Macaca mulatta: one gene and its partners. The protein of the gene in region 3 interacts with the protein of the main gene of each other region in a pairwise test. Links are inferred from orthologs where the notes say so. Each region holds a gene or a part of one and is shown on either strand. Other genes may lie near its edges.

What was found.
Region 1: the proteins of EDC3 (region 3) and ANXA10 interact in binary tests that used the Homo sapiens proteins (3 or more experiments, as listed by UniProt). The link is inferred for Macaca mulatta from reciprocal best matches to the Homo sapiens genes EDC3 and ANXA10.
Region 2: the proteins of EDC3 (region 3) and EFHC2 interact in binary tests that used the Homo sapiens proteins (3 or more experiments, as listed by UniProt). The link is inferred for Macaca mulatta from reciprocal best matches to the Homo sapiens genes EDC3 and EFHC2.
Region 4: the proteins of EDC3 (region 3) and DCP1A interact in binary tests that used the Homo sapiens proteins (3 or more experiments, as listed by UniProt). The two-hybrid records come from large-scale screens. The link is inferred for Macaca mulatta from reciprocal best matches to the Homo sapiens genes EDC3 and DCP1A.

What each region holds. Positions count from the first base shown.
Region 1 is NC_133410.1:176,692,817-176,696,387, reverse strand, and holds part of ANXA10 (annexin A10), read right to left. Parts: intron 2,576-3,571; coding exon 2,480-2,575; intron 394-2,479; coding exon 335-393; intron 1-334.
Region 2 is NC_133426.1:44,120,580-44,123,546, reverse strand, and holds the end of EFHC2 (EF-hand domain-containing family member C2), read left to right. Parts: intron 1-1,114; coding exon 1,115-1,216; 3' UTR 1,217-2,446; downstream 2,447-2,967. UniProt on the Homo sapiens protein: Microtubule inner protein (MIP) part of the dynein-decorated doublet microtubules (DMTs) in cilia axoneme, which is required for motile cilia beating.
Region 3 is NC_133412.1:52,627,366-52,631,389, reverse strand, and holds the start of EDC3 (enhancer of mRNA-decapping protein 3), read left to right. Parts: upstream 1-1,201; 5' UTR 1,202-1,370; exon of another isoform or gene 1,371-1,396; intron 1,397-4,024. UniProt on the Homo sapiens protein: Binds single-stranded RNA. Involved in the process of mRNA degradation and in the positive regulation of mRNA decapping. May play a role in spermiogenesis and oogenesis.
Region 4 is NC_133407.1:116,924,866-116,928,436, reverse strand, and holds part of DCP1A (mRNA-decapping enzyme 1A), read left to right. Parts: intron 1-2,293; exon of another isoform or gene 2,294-2,313; coding exon of another isoform or gene 2,314-2,354; coding exon 2,355-2,482; intron 2,483-3,571. UniProt on the Homo sapiens protein: Necessary for the degradation of mRNAs, both in normal mRNA turnover and in nonsense-mediated mRNA decay. Removes the 7-methyl guanine cap structure from mRNA molecules, yielding a 5'-phosphorylated mRNA fragment and 7m-GDP.

The DNA of each region.
Region 1 (3,571 bases), on a different chromosome or scaffold from region 3:
GTACTTGCATAAGTCCGATGTGGGGATCTTTGGAAATATACAAAGACATTTGAATTTACCAGTTTCTGCAGATGTTAAATAACCTCTAAAGTACACGGGGATATATACCCCAAATATGGTTCCCTAAATTTGATACAGAAGGCAGAGCATTATTTTTATTGGATGTGTCTTATTTTTGGTGTCTAAACCATTTTGTTTTTCACTTGGGTGTATTTTCTTTGTACATACAAGTTCAAAAATGGTAATGAACATTTAAATGATGGAAGTAAATTTATCCTTTGACAAACAGACACAATTTCTGGAGAAATTTTAAAAATATATGAGTCTTACTTACATGAATTGCACTATATAATCTATAAGCAAAATAGGCTGGTTTGTCTCGAACACAGAGAACTAGGAGAAATCAGAGAGAAGAAACATTGAGAGTGAAAACATACATTTTCGTCAGAATTTGAGAAACAATAGCACTTTTCCTGTTACAATTCTTACATTGTATTATAATGTCAACACTTACAATAATGGTAACACTATAAGCCACAGGAAAAAAATATAAAGCAACAACATTATAATGAGTCATGCAGATTTTCACTTGATCTATTTCTATCTGTTGGAACTCTTATTAGTTCCTTCATGTAGCCTAATGAAGAAAACTTTATCATCTTTATCTGAAAATTAAATCAAAAGAGCTTCAAAGAAACCTAGGTTATTACCACTATTATAGATTATTATTATCATCATTGTAGGATTCAATATGATATAGCTCCCATGTAATTTGTTCATCTATTTGAATACTATTTTTAGTAACTTACAGATTTGTGAGTAGACCTGAAGTCTCTGAAGGAGAAACTGTATGGACCACAACTGGTGTAGAACAGTTTTAGAAGTCATCTAATAAAAACTGCTAAGGCATTAGAACAGCCTAGAGAATGGTCAACAGTTATCCTTGCTGGAAGTCAGCTGATGATCATAAACTTTCAGTAATGTTTATTTGAATAGGCTAACAAATTAATACATGAATGGGTAATGTATGAGAGGCTATAATCTCTAGCCAGAATGAAATCATCATAACAGTGTTTCCCTAGTAGTTTAAGTAATGATTTTAGGTTGTGAGATTATACCCTCATCTTTTCTTTCATTTTTAATACATGAAACATCATAATCACTCTTGAGTCATAGTCTTTATAACCTCCTTGAAGGCAGTGACTTTTGCTGTTTCTGTTGTTTCATTGTTCTATCTGTCGTGCCTAAGTCAGTGTCTAGAACAGTAGGTGCTCAATAAATGTCTACTGAGTGAATAAATCAGTTGAAATGTTTTCTGCCATTTATAATGTCCACCACTTCCTCTCTTATGCCCACTGCTTTGTGGCAGGGGTCTATAGTGGAAAGAAAGCTATCTTGAGATTCGGATATTATGAGTTTTAGTCATAACTTGGTTGCTAATCAGCTGATCGGCTTTGAGGCAGTCAGTTAATTTCCTTAGGCATTGTTTATAAAGTGAAGGATTTTGATGTGGTATGTGGTTATTAAATTTTGTAGAGAATTTTCTGGAATAAATGTGACATCCTCAGAAAAAAATACACAGTTATTAATAGTCATTTCTTGCATACTATTTTAGGGGCTTCATCAAACTGTTTTCATGGAACCCTAGCTTGAGACTTCTTTACTGGATAAGCTGCAAAAGTTCCTTTATCTCTCAACTGTCACACTCATGTATGCTTCTGCCATTCAAGGATGGAAAATCACAATATTCATTTATTCAACTAGTATCTAGGTGATTACTTGACTGTGCCTTCGATGGAGATATTTCACAATGACCCCCTTTGGTCGTCCCTGAAATGTGTGCTGTCAGCTCACAGCACAGTACAAGACAAAGGTAGTTCTATTGCACAGGTAGTTCTATTGCAGTTTTTCTGGATAAGTAGCCCTGTTTTGTCCTCTATGGAGGGATATTATTTCTTAGGAAGGAGCAAGAGGTGTGCCACTATCACAATAGCCTGAGGAAAATCACTACTTAGTAAATCTCTTTTATGGTAGGATTTACTCCTAAACCAAAATTTGTTAGTAATGGTCACTAAAAAATCCTTTACCTCCTAAAGAGAAGAGAAGCACACTGTTAAGTATTTATCTGCTCTTGAGCAAGGGAATGGAAGTCAGTAAAGATAAAATGGATTGAACAGTGTGAGAAGCCAATTCCGAAGAGAAAATACCTGAGAATGATGTGTTTTTCTGGTATGAAAGTTGAACTAGCTGTTGGGGGGGTATCAGTTCATTAAAGTCATCAGGTTGCCAGTTTAGTGCATTTTATTAGTAACTGATGTACTCTTCCACTATGGAGTTTACATCCTTTTAAATAATAAAATTCAAGGGAAAAAAATGACTCGATCAAGAGCTTACTCATGTGTCTTTAGTTCATTCAGAGCCGCTCAGCATTTATTAAGAAATAAAATGTCTGCTGTACTTCAAATAATTTATTACTTACCAATTGCAACCAACAGCTCCTGAAAGTATCCATCATAACATTCATTAATGGCATCTACCATGTCTTGCCCAGAAATATTTTGAAATTCCTGAAAAACTTCAACAAATTGATGTAATTCAAAGGAGATTTTGAAAATATTATAAATGTATAATATAAATATTAATTAGATTGTTACACATACTAAAAATCCATATTTTCCATAAAATAATTAAAAGTACTACTGCTACCAATTCTGTTTATTATAAATACCATTGAAACAAATATAGATACTCTTAGTAGAGTCATCATAAATCTTGAACTTCAAAGACCTGTTATTATTCTCTTCTCCTGGGGAACAAATGCCACCTCCAGTGAGACCCACTAACTCACTGCTGATTTAAATTGAGAGGAAGCACACAGCAAGCCATTATTTATGGACCAGTTATTTAGGACATATAGGCTTATGTCAACAACAAACTTCCTACTAGAGCTTAAATATGAGAATTAAGTGTAAAAGTCCTCTCCGTGATGATTAAAATAGCAGTCAAAGTATCTATAAAGAACATTCTGAGAAAGATGAAATCAACTTTATGGTTATAGACTAGAGTTTACTAATTTAGAATTGTGATAAATTAAGATTCCTTATTTCAAGAACTTAGTTATATGACTATCCCAGGCAACTTTAGTTCTCATCCATTCTTACTCAAAATTAGAAGCAAGAAGATGCCTTTTCATTATTATTATATGATTATCATTAAGACAGGTAATGTCTCTTATTGACTTGTAAAGTCCAGATGTGGGATTGGGGTAGGGTAGGCCATCTGTTGAAAATTTTCAGCCATTTGTGTATTTTATATAGAAAAAACAAAATTTGTTTTTAATAAAAGAAAAAGAAAGATATTGTAGTTTAGGGAATAAACAAAGGGCAAACTAACATGAGTGCACTCTCTAAAACCAATAAGGTTCTATCAATATTGCAGAAATCATGACATCAATAATAATGACCTTGATGCAGTATTGACTGGTTAAACTATATTTACTATACATTTTTGCAAGACAACATATAATATACCTAGTAAGAAATAGCTAATATATTTGAATAAGTACTCCATC
Region 2 (2,967 bases), on a different chromosome or scaffold from region 3:
TACACATATATTTACATATTATATACAATGTGCATCTGTGTGTGTATATGTATACACACACACACACACACACAAAGTGGCTTATCTGCAAGATCACACTGTGAGTGATCCAGTGTTCTTTTCATTGTTTACGGAAGAAACAGTAACCAAGCAGCCAGTATAGCTACCAGTTTGTATTTTAAAAATTGGGTTCTTTAGGCGGCAGTTCACGCCTGTAATTCCAGCACTTTGGGAGGCTGAGGTGGATGGATAACTTGAAGCCAGGAGTTTGAGACCAGACCAGTCCGGCCTATATGGCGAAACCCGTCTCTCCTAAAAATACAAAAATTAGCTGGGCGTGGTGGCATGTGCCTGTAATCCCAGCTACTCGGGAGGCTGAGGCATGAGAATCACTCGAACCTGGGAGTCAGAGGTTGCAGTGAGCAGAGATTGCGCCACTGTACTCCAGCCTGGGCAACAAAGTGAGACCCTGCCTTAAAACAAATAAAATAAAAATAAAAATTGGGTTCTTAAGAAAGTATAGGAGGATCTATCACTGTATTAATGCTGCATGACAACTCCTGAAATTTCAGTGGTTCACAAGAAGGCACATTTCTTTTTCTTTTCTATGGGCATGTAGGTCAGTGAAGCATGGCTGGATTCAGCTAAGCTTGGCTCTTAGTCTGCAAGTCCAGCCTGGTCTGATCCCCCTTGGTCATTCTAAAAACAACGGCATCCTGGGCCATGTTCTTTTCATGGTGATGGCAGAGGCACAGAAGGCCAAGCCAAATGATGCCAGCACACTAGAGCCTCTGTTCATGATATGTCTGCTAACAGTACATAGGTCAAAGCCAGTCATGTGGCCAACCACATATCAAAGGAACAGGAAAATATACTCTTCTTACTCCACGGGAGGTTCTGCAGAGTCATATGACAAAGAGTGTGGGCACGTAATTCTTATACAGGGAGGGAATGAAGAATCAAGAACAAGTATCCAGTCTACCACAAAGTCTTTATGAACCTGAAGTAGATGGTAGAAATTTTCCCTTTGAAAATAAACTTCGGTGTTGAATTTTCAAAACTGTACTTTGAAATGTGGTTCTAATCATATCCATTTTTGTTTTTTTTTTTCTAGAGATGTGAAGATATCTGGCTTGGCATGCCATCACCTATTCCTGCGAAATACATTGACTACTTGACCCTTTTGAAGGATGTGTTTGGCTTAGAGGAGGAATAACCATGCCAGTTTTGGTCAATTCTCTTTGATTTACTTCTCTCATTTTGCCACATTTACTTTAGTAGATATAATTTCATTAAAAACAAAAAAGAAACAAGGTTTATATTAAATGGAAATCCACAAATCACAATTAATCCTATTTTGTCATGTTAGTTTTTCAGAACATCATGTTATATTTCTGCCGTACTGTTACTATTTAAAATGCCATCTTAAAACATGTTGAATATTTTTATTATATGTATATTTTATTAATACCAAAAAATCTTCTGATAATTTTTCATCCAACGTAATTTGATTCATTAGTATATGAACAGAAAATAACTTCTGAAAGTTATACATGACAATACAAAATCAAATTATATCACAGCAATAAGTTGTGATTCTATTAAATATTTTTGAAACCTTTTTGACACATTTATTACTTATATAGTTAAGTTTTGTAGCAACCCACCTCATCAAAATAATTCTTAAACCTCTCTAGAGTAAATATGTTTATTTTTTAAACTTAGTAAAGCTATGGGAAGAAAAAGAACCTCCCCAAAACATACACACACACACACACACACACACACACAGGAAACATATGCAGTATTTATATTTGTAATGCCCTTTTTTCTATCTAAAGTCAGCTTGTTAGCTTAGGAATATATGCATGTGTATATAATTATAGTTTGACCAAAAATTTATTATGTCTAAAATATTTACAAATGTGAAAGCTGAAGATTTTGAGATTTTTTTTTTTTTGGTTTGTTTTACACACACATCCCACCCGCCCCACCCTAGAGGTTTAAATATTCAGAAACTACAACATTTTTCCCCTGCATTTTTCTAGTTCTATTTTTATTTTTCTTCAGCAGAACTCTTGTCATGTAGTATACATTTGATTAAAACCCATAGCCATGTACCTCTGGGAATTCAGTGTAAGAAGTCTATCCCCGTCTATCCCATTGTTCAATGTGGGGTGCTATGTATCATAAATCCATTTGCCTGGTGTTCTGGGAGACAATGGAGGTCTCTCAAGAAGGAACTGCAGGGACTACTCTGAGAAGAAGAGGAGCTGATGACATCTCAAGGGACCCTTCGGACTCATTATTCTTTCACTCCACATTTGCAGCAGTGTCTTGCTGGCTTCTTGGCACTCAAATGTACCAATTTACTCTTGACAACAATGGCCCTTTCATTTTTAAAAAATTGAAGTTAATCAATAAACGATTTCTATATATAAACCTAGAATAATTCCACACGTGCTATTGTTAGAATAGATGCTCCCCCCCAACCCTTTCAGGACTTAACACTAAACTAGTATACTCAATTTATATACCAAAACTATCTACCATAAATCCTAAATTTGACTACTTGATTTTTGTCCCAGGTTTTTTTTAAGGCAACTGACAGTGCCAAGCCATTTTGTCACTTTAAGATTTTTCATTCCCCAGAGAGCAAGCTTTTAGAAGGATGACACTTTCCTGGAACTTTTCAAGCTGACACATTCGTCACTTACCTATTCAACTCTTCAGTCAGTTGTCTTTCCTTCAAGAGTTTAAATATGTAGATAATTTAGCCCTTGTAAAGGCTTATAATGTAGTTCATTTGAGAAGCTGGGGGAGAAAAAGGAAGCAAACCAATGACAATGCTCCTGAGTTTGTGGGGTGACAACTGCTTATTCTATTGCATAGATGTGTGTTACTGCTCTGGTTGTTTCTGGTTCAAGCCCACAATTAGCAATGAAATGGCCATTATAGGATTCATGC
Region 3 (4,024 bases):
TCCAACTATATGCGATTCTGGAAAAGGCAAAACTATGGAGACAGTAAAAGGAGCAGTGGTTGCCAGTGGTCAGGGGACTGAGAAGGATGAATAGGCAGAGGACAGAGGATTTTCAGGGCAGTGAAACTATCGTGGATGATACCATAATGGTGGATACATGTCATTATATATTTGTCAAAACCCACAGAATGTGCAACACCGAGAGAAAATGCTATTGTAAACTATGGACTCTGGGTGATAATGATGTGTCAAAGTAGGGTCATCAATTGTTACCAAATGTACCACTGTAGCACAAGATGTCCATAAGGGGACAAGTTGTGTGTGTGTGTGCCTATGTGTACAGGGGATATATGGGAACTCTCTACTTTCTGTTCAATTTTGCCCTGAACCAAAAACTGCTCTAGAAGTGTTGGTTAATAACAGTAAAAGACAAAGACCCCTTCTGACCTAGGGAATCTCTGGTGATGGATGGGGAGGGCGAAGTAGTCCCCTAGAAAGTGGAAATTTTACAAAGTTCTTCAACTGATTTTGTAGAGCTAGGTTTGGAACTGCTACCCTACTCTATGCTACTCGCCCAAGTAGTGGTTCCCAAACCAGGTGTCAGGCTTCAAGGCCATGCAATATTCCTCATTACACTGTCTTGGCCCCAAACACATGCTTTCCCCTCTCCCTACAAATCAAGACTCTAAAATGCCAAGGGTAGAAGAGCAGTACTTTCCCGTGTACTGAATATGGGGGAAGGGAGAGCAGTCAAGCATGGACTGGCTATTCTAAGCCCCAAATGGGCTGAAGCTGATAACGCTTTGAAGATCGACCACGGCAGAAATATCTTGTTTTCTTTAATCCATCAGGGGGTTGTCCCACTTATTGAGTCCCACAGCTGCGGTATAGCACGGAGGGGGCCTCCCTGAAAGTCCTCCGCTCCAGCTCTCCGATTGGCGCTGGGGGAACAGGAGGGGAAGCGGAGGCTTTGCATCGAGCCTGCAACACGGGGCCCGGGCATCGAGGCCGAGGAGTCGTGGGTAGAGCCCCGATTTCAGCCAAGATGGCATAGGACGTAAGTAAGCGTGGAAAGCAAAATGGCTACGCAAGCGCAATTCTGTAAGGCCGAAGGGACGTTCTTCCAACCTCTTAAATTTCCCGGGCGCCACGCCCCTCAGTTGCTTGCCCTGGATTCCAAGGTGTCGCGCGGGAAGTGACCTCACGGCGGTGGCGTGGAGACGTGGGGGCGCTTCCGGCGGCGGCGGCGGCGGCGGTGACGGCCGAAGCTGTAGGGGTGGGCGTGGAGAGAGTTCTTCTGTGGGTCCTCTGGTATTGCGTGGTCGGCTTGGTGTGGTGTGCGGAGGAGCTCCAGGCCCGTCGGGGCGGAGGTGGGAGCGAAGGGAAGAGGCTGCTGGTGTGTGGACGCTCGTGGGAGGGGGATGCCGGGCTTGCTTTAGGCTTCGGAGTTCCAGGCCTCATAGACCTTTATAGAGGAAGGCAGGCAAGAGCTGGGGGCTTCATCGGGTTCGCAGGGGGCCAGGTACTATGGGCGGCCGCAGGAGTTTGGTTTGAGGTGGGAGGCTGAGGACTGCAGGATTCTAAATAGTACGGGGATTGTGTGAGGCGTGAGGCATTAGCTGCTTGGGCCCTTAGTCCAGCCTTGTTGGTGGCTGCTGTAGTTCATTGGCTCACTGATTTCTTCATGCCTCAGTTTCCCTTTGCATAATGAGATATGGTGGCAGAGAAGAACGCCAGTGCCACATCCATGACTAATAGCTTGAGGACAGAGGTGAACTGGAGGGTAGAAAAAGAGGATGCCTGAGAAATTTATACTTACCAGGTCACATCTTCTGAATCCCAGGAAGTTATCCCTGGATTCATTTCTGCCTTTGGTGCAAGTCTGTGGTTCTTATCAGTACTCTTTGTGTGATATTGATTGTATTTATCAATACTTGACTTGTTGAGTGGCTAAAGTGTTTTGGTTTGTGGGAGGCATAGCCCTTGTTGGCTTGGTCAATTGATTTTCAATTAATCTCCCAGTAGCAATTGCTTCGCCTAACTCTGCAATTGGGATATTAGTTGAAAATCAACTGACCAAGCCAACAATCTTCTCCTCTGGTTACAGATAAGGAACTCACGACCCAGAATGGTTTTTCTTTTCTTCCCTAGCCACAGACCAAACCGATTTCAGTCTGCTGTCTCAAATACAGGTCTTCACCCCACCAAAACAGAAATGGCTGTCTCCAAGCAGTTTAGTATTTCAGCTGGACACCCAGATGGATCCTAATCTTTTTTTTTTTTTTTTTTAATGAATGGCAGATTAGGTGTACTGAGCACAAAATTCTCTTAGCTGGTTTCTCTGTATGATGTAAAAATGGTTGTAAAAACATGACTTTTTGTTTATTACCAAATTCTTGGTAGAGCTTCCTTGGCATAGGGTTATGGGGCTAGAAAAGTGTCTCAAAATTTTTGACCTGTGACCTGCAGTTAGATATATTTTACATCACGACATTACTCATTGTGCCCCTGCACACTCAGTGTCTACACACACACACAGCCCCACCCACCGATGAAAAGTTTACTTACCCTTTCTACAGAAGATGCATTCTAAAAAAAAATTGGTTGCAACGCACTAAATTGTGTCTGAGCCCTAATAGGTCGTGAGGTATAGTTTGAAAAATATTAAGGGCGGGCACTGTGGCTCACGCCCGTAATCCCAGCACTTTGGGAGACTGAGGCGGGTGGATCACCTGAGGTCAGGAGTTGGAGACCAGTCTGGCCAACATGGTGAAACCCTGTCTCTACTAAAAATATAAAACTTAGCTGAGTGTGATGGTGGGTACCTGTAATCCCAGCTACTTGGGAGGCTGAGGCAGGAGAAACTCTTGAATCCAGGAGGCAGTGAGCCAAGATAGTGCTATTGCACTCCAGCCTGGGCAACAAGAGCCAAACTCTGTCTCAAAAAAAAAAAAGAGAAGAAAAATATTAGACTAGGGCCGAGTGCAGTGGTGAGAGGATTGCTTAAGGCCAGCCTGGGCAACATAGCAAGACTCTGTCTCTAAGAAAAACAACATTAGAAAATGCTTAAAATCTTTGCCATTTGTGAGATTCTGTAATTAATACATTATCATTTTTCTTTCTTTTTTTTTTTTTTTTTTTTTTGAGACGGAGTCTCGCTCTGTCGCCCAGGCTGGGGTGCAGTGGCCGGCTCTCAGCTCACTGCAAGCTCGGCCTCCCGGGTTTACGCCATTCTCTTGCCTCAGCCTCCCAAGTAGCTGGGACTGCAGGCGCCTGCCACCTCGCCCGGCTAGTTTTTTTGTATTTTTTAGTAGAGACGGAGTTTCACCCTGTTAGCCAGGATGGTCTTGATCTCCTGACCTCGTGATCCGCCCGTCTTGGCCTCCCAAAGTGCTGAGATTACAGGCTTGAGCCACCGCGCCCAGCCTCATTTTTCTTTTCTTATTCAGAGAAGGGCTTACTAGATTTCTCCTAAATTCAGCCAGAACAGCAGGACAGGACATCCAAATTGTGTCTCAAAGGAGTATAGTGACCATAATGATAGTGTGTCAGAATTTTAGCAAGGCATTTATGAAGTCTTTTTTTTTTTTTTTTTTGAGATGGAGTCTCATTCCATTGCCCAGGTTGGACAGAGTACAGTGGCACAATCTCTGCTTACTGTAACTTCCGCCTTCTAGGTTCAAGCGATTCTCCTGCCTCAGTCTTCCAAGTACCTGGGATTACAGGCATGCGTCACCACGCCTGGCTAATTTTTGTATTTTTAGTAGAGATGGGGTTTCACCATGTTGGCCAGGCTGGTCTCGAACTCCTGACCTCAGGTGATCCACCCATCTCAGCCTCCCAAAGTGCTGGGATTACAGGTGTGAGCCACTGCGCCTGGTCTTACTAAGTCTTATGATAACCGAGTGGGTGAGATGGAGGAATTTGCCAGATTGTGGTAGAATTAGATGGAGTCATGAGTTTGAGCATCTGTGTATGGAGATTTGATTTGTGAGCACTACTTGCAGCTGGAATTCTGGTGATC
Region 4 (3,571 bases), on a different chromosome or scaffold from region 3:
GCCTCTCTCTCCCTACCCCCATATTAGAAAGAAAAAAAAAAAGATATATATTTGGGGAAAAGATAATACATAGACTAGCTCTGTAAAATAATGTTTTTCATTACCTCTGTTGTTTTATTACTGCATGGGTGGTTGTCTTTTATGACTGGTTCTGTCCTCTTTCCCAACCCCCAGAAGTTCTAGATTTTGTACAGTGTCTTGTTTGAGAGTTCTTTAGAAAGCTTGGATTATGCATAATGGCATATTTTTTATTTTTAACTTATTCAAAAATTCATTATGTTTAAGATTGGTTTGCAAATTGCAACTGTTTTGTTAGGCAGCTTCTGGGGCCTAAAGACAACTGACAGTATATGATAGTCATGGGGTGCTTGTTTTCCTGGATTCCTCTAAGGTCTTACTCTGACAAGGACAGGTTCCTTCCCTTGTTTTCTAAAGCTTGAGTCAGCAGGAGTTATTACTGATATCTGGTCTTCTCCCTTTTTTTTTGCATTGAGTTGCTTTTTAAGGATTGCCTTTCTCCATTGATGCCAATTTAAAATAATTTGTCAAATACTCTTCCAAATTTTGATACAAAGCCTTGAGATCTTATCTAAATGCACTCCATTTTTTTTCTTCTTTTAAGTGTAATTCTTTGATATTTGTACACCAAGCTCTTCTTTCTTAGACACTTTGTTTGTTCGCTGCTATTCATCTTTCTTCTTTTAAAAAGAAAGGGATCGGCCAGACGCAGTGGCTCACGCCTGTAATCCCAGCACTTTGGGAGGCCAAGGCAGGTGGTTCACGAGGTCAGGAGATAGAGACCATCCTAGCTAACACGGTGAAACCCCATCTCTACTAAAAATACAAAAAAATTAGCTGGGCGTGATGGTGGGTGCCTATAGTCCCAGCTACTCGGGAGGCTGAGGCAGGAGAATAGCGTGAACCCAGGAGGTAGAGCTTACAGTGAGCCGAGGTCAAACCATTGCACTCCAGCCTGGGCGACAGAGCGAGACTCTCATAAAATAAATAAACAGATAAATAAATAGGAAGGGATCTTTACCCTCACTCCCTTCATTACTCTTCATTAGCAGTATAAATCTCTAGAAACTCTGTTATTAGAACCTTAGTTTCTATGATATTTGGAAAAGGTACTTTACTGGGTTTATTGTTATCATACAGAGGCACTGATTATAGAAAGTAGGAGATTTAGTGTAGTGGTGGCTGGATTTAATACAATTCACGGAGTCTAATATGGTACTGATTCTAATTAAATGAGACGCAAGAAACTGTGTTTGGAAAATGTGAGACTATTTTGTGTACCTTGGATAAAGGTATACCAGGATGTCAGACTATCACTTTGCAGAGATTACTTCGTATAGTAGAAGCTTGGATTTGGAGTCAAAAAACCTGAAACTGAATCCGAATTACATTATTTGTAACTCATTATTTGTGTGACCTCAGGCACAGTCCTTAATCATTCAAAGCTTGTCTTCTAGTCTGTAGAATAGTGTTAACACCCCATATATATCGTAGAGAAACAAACGAAAAACTATGAAATGTTAGGTACATGTGAAGAGTAAGGGATCATATACCGAATCCCTCTGATACGGGAACCAAGGATGTTTCCTATTGTAGGATTCAAGGCATTTTCTGTCTAACTCAGGAGCACTATGTAAAGATCTGTTTGGTGCAAGAAAAACCATTATTGTAATGATGGGCAGCCATTATAGCCAATCCAATGGAATGATATTTCATTCAGCAACTGTGTGTCTATATTGGGATGTATGTGTGAAAAAAGTAAGACAAAAGCTCCATTTGCATGGGGCTTACATCCTAGTGGGGGCAGGACAATTAATATTAAAAATAAGTAGTATGGATAAAAGAGAAAGGTTAGAGGTATTGAGCTTGGGAACATTAAAAAGGGTAGTTCAAGTAGGCCTCATGAAAAAGGTGACATCTGAACAAAGGCTTGCAGGAGATGAGATAGCTGTGCAGCTTCTGGGGCAGTAATCCAGGAAGAGGTCTTTAGGTAGAAGCACACATGCAGAGAGAGTGGCAAGGAGCCCAGTGTGGCTGGAGAGGAGGAGGTGGGGAAGAGCCATAGGAAATGAAGTCAGAGGGGGAATACATCAGGTGGGGCCTTGGTGGCCTCAGTAAGGACTTTGACCTTTACTCTGAGAGACTGTCTTTGGAGACTTCTCATCAGAGGAAGAATATAATCCGACTTAAATGTTTTGTTTACAGGTGTAAGTGCTTGATAATATTGTATGTTCTAACGTATTCTTTTCTGAAATGAAAATAAAGCACATAGTAGATAACATTTCTACAGATTAAATGGTAACTGCATATTTTTTTTTCCTTCTATTAAATCTAAGGTCAGCTTCCCCTTACCATGGTTTTACCATTGTGAATCGACTAAATATGCACAATCTAGTTGAACCAGTGAATAAAGATTTGGAATTTCAGCTCCATGAACCATTTCTTCTGTATAGAAATGCAAGCTGTGAGTATATCTGTTTTATTATAGTTATTACATTTAAAATCGAGTGACTTTAGTTTCTATCAATCCATTATTTAGTAAGTTTCAAATTACAAAACAAAATATGGCCTATACTTTATGATTATAAATGAGTCTGTTAGAAAGATCAGACGTTTTAAACTGGGCTCTGAGACCAGACGTGGTGGCTCACGCCTGTAATCCCAATACTTTGGGAGACCGAGGAGGGCGGATTACCTGAGGTCAGGAGTTCGAGACCGCCCAGGCCAACATGATGAAACCCCATCTCTACTAAAAATACAGAAAAAAATTAGCCGGACTTGGTGGTGGGCACCTGTAATCACTTGAACCTGGCAGGTAGAGGTTGCAGCGAGCCGAGATCGCGCCATTGCACTCCAGCCTGGGCAACAGAGTGAGACTCTGTCTCAAAAAAATAAATAAATATACTGGGGTCTGAAACTAGAAACATTCTTTTGTATATAATTTTGTTTACTATTTCGTTTACTAGCACTACATTTATGTTGTTGGTTTATTAAAATAAGGTTTATGCCTTTGTTTTTTTGCAGCTGTGGACTATCAGCTGCCCACATCCCTGAGCAACAGAACTTAGTTTGGGACACACAGGATGGGAGCAGATACAGATAATTCTTTCCACAAAGAAAGTATTATTTTTGCCCAGAATAGTGGTGGTGGGGTTTTTTTAAAAGATATTTATTACTTTTTCTACTTTATTTTGTCTGAATATGTTTCTAAGTAGGGTTTTTCTATCTGTTTATTTAATTGAGTGTCTGCTGGTTACCAGCACTGAGCCAAGAGCTATGGTGCTTTAATGTTTGTAACCTATGTGCTATAGGGAGGCAGTTAAGGCAACTAAGACTCAGAGATGCAAAACTATTACTCTGTTGGAGAGTTAGGATTATAACTCTTCTGCTTTTTAGTCCAGGGTTCTTTCAGGCATTTTTACAGCCTCTAATGATAATTGGATGCAGTCAGCAAAGCTAGATTGGCCCTTCCAAGAAACTACAGTACTAAAAAGTGTACTTGATTCCAGTGTGTTGGTATGGATATTGAAGGTATGGGTGTTTGAGGACAGTT